2 linked regions of the Kluyveromyces lactis genome follow. Each later gene encodes a partner of the first gene's protein in a complex. Links are inferred from orthologs where the notes say so. Each region holds a gene or a part of one and is shown in the gene's direction. Other genes may lie near its edges.

Evidence for each region.
Region 2: GCD1 (region 1) and GCN3 share a complex: the UniProt entries of both Saccharomyces cerevisiae proteins name them as parts of the translation initiation factor 2B (eIF2B) complex. The link is inferred for Kluyveromyces lactis from reciprocal best matches to the Saccharomyces cerevisiae genes GCD1 and GCN3.

Annotation. Positions count from the first base shown.
Region 1 is NC_006039.1:830,637-834,130, reverse strand, and holds GCD1 (translation initiation factor eIF2B subunit gamma), read left to right. Parts: upstream 1-1,509; coding exon 1,510-2,994; downstream 2,995-3,494. Other genes in the region: proteasome regulatory particle base subunit RPT4, read right to left, coding at 1-1,070; COX10 (protoheme IX farnesyltransferase), read right to left, coding at 3,247-3,494. UniProt on the Saccharomyces cerevisiae protein: Acts as a component of the translation initiation factor 2B (eIF2B) complex, which catalyzes the exchange of GDP for GTP on the eukaryotic initiation factor 2 (eIF2) complex gamma subunit.
Region 2 is NC_006042.1:1,293,182-1,295,949, reverse strand, and holds GCN3 (translation initiation factor eIF2B subunit alpha), read left to right. Parts: upstream 1-1,334; coding exon 1,335-2,255; downstream 2,256-2,768. Other genes in the region: mitochondrial elongation factor MEF2, read right to left, coding at 1-821; KLLA0_F13981g (uncharacterized protein), read left to right, coding at 1,001-1,234; RPC37 (DNA-directed RNA polymerase III subunit C37), read right to left, coding at 2,316-2,768. UniProt on the Saccharomyces cerevisiae protein: Acts as a component of the translation initiation factor 2B (eIF2B) complex, which catalyzes the exchange of GDP for GTP on the eukaryotic initiation factor 2 (eIF2) complex gamma subunit.

The DNA of each region.
Region 1 (3,494 bases):
ATTTCTAATCTTCCTGCCTCATTTGGTAAACTGATTTCGATTTTTCTGTCCAATCTACCAGGTCTTAGTAAAGCAGGATCTAAAGTGTCAGGTCTATTCGTAGCCATAATAACTTTCGTTTGTCCTAAGTTGTCGAAACCATCCATCTGAGTTAATAGTTCCATCAATGTACGTTGAATTTCACGATCTGCTGAGGTACCTTCGCTAAATCTACGTCCACCGATAGCATCTATTTCGTCCATAAAGATGATACAAGGTTCATGTTCTTTGGCGTATGCAAACATTTCTCTAATGATACGTGCTGATTCACCGATGTATTTATCTACAATACCGGATGCTGGGGAGAAGATAAAGTTGGCACCGATAGTTGCAGCAACTGCCTTAGCCAATAAAGTCTTACCAGTACCAGGAGGACCATATAGTAACACACCCTTAGGTGGTTTGATTCCCACTCTCTCGAAAATTTCTGGGTTCTTTAGTGGAAGCTCAATGACTTCTCTCAATTCTCTGATCTGTTCCGTAAGACCACCGATACCATCAAAAGAGATTTCACCTTGTTCAAAAGTGGTCATATTATAAACTAATGGGTCAGTTTCTCTAGGTAAAATTCTCATAATAGTTAATGTAGTAATATCAAGTGTGACTCTGACACCCTTCTTTAGCTTGGAACGATCAACGGAGTTCCTCACACCCACAATATAACGAGGACCTGATGACGCTTTTACAATGTATTTTTCCTCGGAAAGTTCCTTCATAACTTCCCCAATGAGTTGGCCAATCGACTGTAACGCCTTGATATCCTGTTCTGTTCTCTCATATTCTGCTTCTAGTACCCGTATGGTTTCTCTGCGTTGCTTCAACATATCGTCGTATCGTCTGTGTTCCATAAGTCTTTTCTTAAAATGTAACATCGCTTTTTCCTTTGCAGCCTGTTCTGGATCCACAGGCTCCACCGTTTCAGGTGCGGCAGCGTTATTTTCTCCCGAATTAGAGTTGGTACCAGCTCCGTTAGTGTCATCACCATCGTTTTCTTCCATTGCTGCTAGTAAAGGATCCTGTTCTTGAGACATCTTTAGTATTTATTCTGATCAGACTAGCTTAATCTTCCTATTCCTGCTTCTCAATATGAAAGGAGAAAAATCCCGTACCTTTATTCTGTCAGTATTCCTTCCTGGTTGGACTAGTACTGTTATAATGGATTGACTCAACTCAATTGGTTGGATTTGGCCTTTCTTACCTATTCTCTTCATTTGGACTATGGGTTACTAGATTGAATGGTGGCAAAAGCATTCGGAATCTACTAAATAGAAAGGGAGATCATTACGCACGATTTTGAAATTTTCAGGAATAAAGCTTTTCAATATAAGATGGAGTATTGACTAACCTAAGCATCACGTAGGATGATGACCTGCCACGGTACAGTTTGAAGATATATAGTGGGTTCTACGTTTTATTGATGCGTTGATCTCCAGATAAGACAGTTTAATATTCCCAGAATAGTACAGAACAATGGATTTTCAAGCTTTTATATTCTGTGGACGTGGTGCGAAGCTAACACCGTTTTCCAATGTTCGTGGAGACACTGGTGTTCCCAAAGCTCTATTGCCGGTTGCAAACCGCTCCATGATTGAGTTCGTACTAGATTGGTGTGAGCAAGCCCAATTTAAAGAGGTCAATCTAGTTATTGACGCATCCGATGCTGACGAATTAGAGGAAAGTTTGAAAAAATACCGTGAAGTGAGAGGGCATTATTTTGGACTGTTATCCCAAAGCGTTGGATCGAACCATGCTCACTATTTGAAAAAACCATCTCCTATTAATATTATACCCTCAAAATGTGAGAATACAGGAGAATGTCTGAAGAATGAATTGCTAGATAAGATAACTGGAGATTTCGTGTTGTTACCTTGTGATTTCATCACAGACATTCCACCACAGGTGTTTTTAGATCAGTATTTGAATAAAGATCCGGAGAATCTAGCTATGGCAGTATATTATCACAATGGGTTTGAGAATATCGATAAGAAGCATTTAAAGCAATTCCTGACTGTATACTCCGAGAATTTGGAGTCTGTTAGTAAGCCCGTTCTTCTAGACGTTTATTCCAAAGACGATGTGGACAAAACGAAATATTTACAAATCAGATCCCAAATGCTTTGGAGATATCCGAACTCCTCTGTATCCACAAAATTACTGAACTCCTTCATTTACTTTTGCTCTCATGAGTTAGTAAACCTATTGAAGGATGAAACCGAGAAAGGTGCTGGAGAATTAGACTCTGATTCGGAAGCCGTTGATTCTTTGGCCACATCATTCCAGAACACGTCTTTCTTGAAGGGAAAGAAGAAATTAATCAAAGATCCAATAAACTGTAATAAATCGCTAGGCAAGCTATTCAGGGATTTGTCTAGGCGTTCGTGGCAGCATGTGAAACCCAGAGAAACTATAGGTATCTTCGTGTTACCTGAAATCGGATTATTTATCAGATCAAACAGTTTGAGTGCATACATGGAATCCAATAGGTACGTTTTGAAGATTAAACAAACGGCGATTCAACAACGCACTACTGATGGTTCTTCTGCTATCGGTGCAGATTCTATGGTTGGTAACAATTGTGCAATTTTGGAGAAAACCAATATTAAACGTTCGGTCCTCGGTGACAATTGTAAAGTAGGAAAGCGATGCCGTATCGTTGGGTGTGTTGTGCTTGATAATGTTGAAATTGATGATGAAACCCAGCTAGAAAATGTCATCATCGGTAGAAATGCAAAAATCGGCAAGAAATCAAAGCTTACAAATTGTTATGTTGAGGGCTCTTATATTGTCAATGAAAAATCCACTCTCAAGGGTGAAACTTTGACAAGTATTTACATAGATGACGAAGATTACGCATCCTCTTTACTGGATTCAGATTCATCTGGATCCGAGTCTGATTACACTGATGAATATTATGACGATGAGGATTATGTTGATGATGGACTCTTCGACCGTTGAACTTCGGTAAATTATTATAAATAGAGTATTTTTGCATATATCATGATCAAATAGCCGTACCATGTGTACCTTAATAATTATAGAAATCTGATAACTAATCTTCTGAGCTTGTGTAAACTTCTTGAACGGATTTCTGAATATTTACAGTTTATGTTTACAAAATAATTGATGATTTTCGTTCTGAATTAAATACATAATAATAAATTACTATTCACAAGTAAGATTTTCCTGATGTTGAATGAATGTGTGAAATTATGCTGAGAGTTGTTTCTTATCTTCAAAGAGCCAGTCCCAACGGTCCTTTTTATGCAAAATTGCTAAAATCAATACTGCCGGCAAATGTAGTACACTGACCCAGAATGTTCTCCTCGCATAAACGTTGGCCATTGCCAACCCTTTGTTGAATTCTGTCTTGTTATTGTATATCTCCTTGGAGTAATTACGCTTTTGCTGGAAATAAAACTTGAATGCCCATAGTGACATCCAAGCATTAACAAATG
Region 2 (2,768 bases), on another chromosome or scaffold:
ATCGTGGCTTTCCTGATAGATGCATTCAACACTTCTGGTGAAACATTTAGGTACTCTCCATCAGCATCATTGAAAAAATGTTCCACAATAGATTCATCAGTCTCACCAAGAGTTTCCACCAATGCTTCTCTTCCTCTAACCAAATATTCATAACAGTCATGATTTTCATCGACATCAGTGACATTTATCTTGTCTGGATCATTGGTGTCCCAGATTAACTGTTTCCCATATATTAAATCCAACACACCACTGAACTTTGACTCATTCGTCACAGGATCTACTTGAAATATTGGGGTATTTATAAGTAATGCTCTGGTATTCATTTTGACGACAAGTTCTTTCACTGTCCTGCTAAACCCAGCACCGACTCGATCCATCTTGTTTAAGAAACAGATCTTGGGTAAGCCACTTGACTGCTTCCAAACCTTTTCAGTCTGAGCCTCCACCCCTGCTACAGAATCCAAGATGGTGACACAGCTATCTAGAACTTTCAAAGACCTGATAACTTCGAATGTGAAATCAGCATGGCCAGGTGTGTCGATAAGATTGATCTTATAATCTTTCTTCCAATTGAACGATATAGCGGCACTTTGAATCGTTATTCCTCTCGATCTTTCCTGCGGTAGATAGTCTGTAATAGTATCACCTTGATCTACATCACCTATTCTATTGATCTTCCCACTGTAATACAACATTCGTTCGGTGGTTGTCGTCTTACCAGCATCGATGTGCGCGATGATGCCAATGTTTCTGACTTTACTCAGATCATGCTTAGTGGCATACCTTCGAAGAAATATCCTAAACGACATTGTATGTTGCATTGGCTACTTTGCAGAGCTTGGTAAGGGTATCTGGTATGAAATCGAACCTTCACTGGTTATACTAGTCTTTCTGATGGTTGTCTCGAAGGTTTACGGTACTGTTAGAAATTGTCTTCAATAAATTCAGTTTAATAGCACTCGAATAATACATTACATAAAGAGTAGTTAAATATCAGCCAATGGCTCCAGGATTAACAAGTAGACATTTCGAGAATGTAGTAATTGTAAGGATTCAACTAGTACCTCCAATGATGAGCCAAGTGGCACACTGTGCGGTGTTTAATAACAACATTTCAGACTCATCACCCATTTCAAAAATCATGACTTACGGATTTAACTTTTCACTATTGAAAGCATGGAACCATCTCATCCAACCAGCCAAAATGGTTCAAGTGAGGTTCAAAGACAATTAAACTAGGTAGTTAGTGGCCATTTGGGTACTGTCAGTGACACATTAAATACATACCAGTGCAAGGAAACAGGATCAATAGAGAAATACCAAACGAAATGACGATGCAAGAGTTTAATATCACCCAAACTTATTTGAAGTTTTTGGAAGAAGACAGTGAAATGACTATGCCTATCGCTGCCATCGAGGCATTAGTTACCATGTTGAAAGTTAAGAATCCCAAAACATCTGCAGAGATGATCAAATCGACAAAGCTAGCTATCGAAGAGTTGACTACATCTATTCCAAACTCAATTTCGTTACGTGCAGGTTGTGATATATTTATGAGATTTGTCTTGAAGAACACACATTTGTACGGTGATTGGGAAAATTGTCAACAGCATTTGATTGAAAACGGGCATTTATTTGTCAGTAGAGCTAAACAATCAAGAGATAGAATTGCTGAGATTGGGATTGATTTCATATCCGATGATGATATCATATTAGTGCATGGATTTTCCAGAGCTGTTTTCTCTTTACTAAGTCATGCAGCAGAGAAGTTAATCAGATTTAGATGTATCGTCACTGAATCCAGACCGTCTGGCCAAGGGTTGCAACTGTATCATTTACTTAAAAAGAAGGGTATCCCAGTGACAATGATTGTAGATAATGCTGTTGGTACGATCATCCATAAGGTAAACAAGATCTTTGTGGGAGCCGAAGGTGTTGCTGAATCTGGAGGTATTATCAATCTAGTAGGAACGTATTCTATCGGTGTCTTGGCGAAGAATGCAAGGAAACCATTCTATGTGGTTAGTGAGTCGCATAAGTTCGTACGTATGTTCCCTCTTTCGTCAGATGATATTCCAATGGAAAGAGATCCATTAGATTTTAGCAAAAACGGTATAGAAGACGATGAAGAACCATTGAGTGGGCCTTCTGTCGACTTTACAAGTCAAGAATACATCACAGCTTTGATCACTGATCTTGGAGGGTTGACACCTAGTGCTGTTTCTGAGGAGTTGATTAAGATGTGGTATGATTAAGGAGAATTTGATCCCTTCTCGGTTTAATATATATTTATACTTACTAAATACGATAATTAATTAAAATAGTTTTGATAGATACACAGCGTCGTTGTCCATTGGTTTTAATGGTACAGTACTTTTTTCACTTGTAACTTCTTCTACAAACGATTCGAAAGTATCGTCCTTCCATTCCAAAGGTTTGAATTCCTCTTCGTCTGCTACCTTATGAGCTAGCAATGCACCTCCTAGTCTATTTTGATTCGCTTCGCTGCTACTCTTCACTGACATTGTTATTACCTGGTTTTTCTTGGCAGTTGGATTCGCAGGTTTCGCCTTGGCATCCTCGTCCTTCTTAACCTGTTGATGCGAATCGATGTAACGGAAGTATGGTCTCATTTGGGCAACTTTCTCTACTGGTATTAAATATAGCTGTCCTTGTTTCATAACGCCTGCGTATTGCAACATGTCGTTGCTTACAGCCACACCTTTCAAAGTTTGAACGTCGACATTGTTCCAAGACTCAGCAGCTTT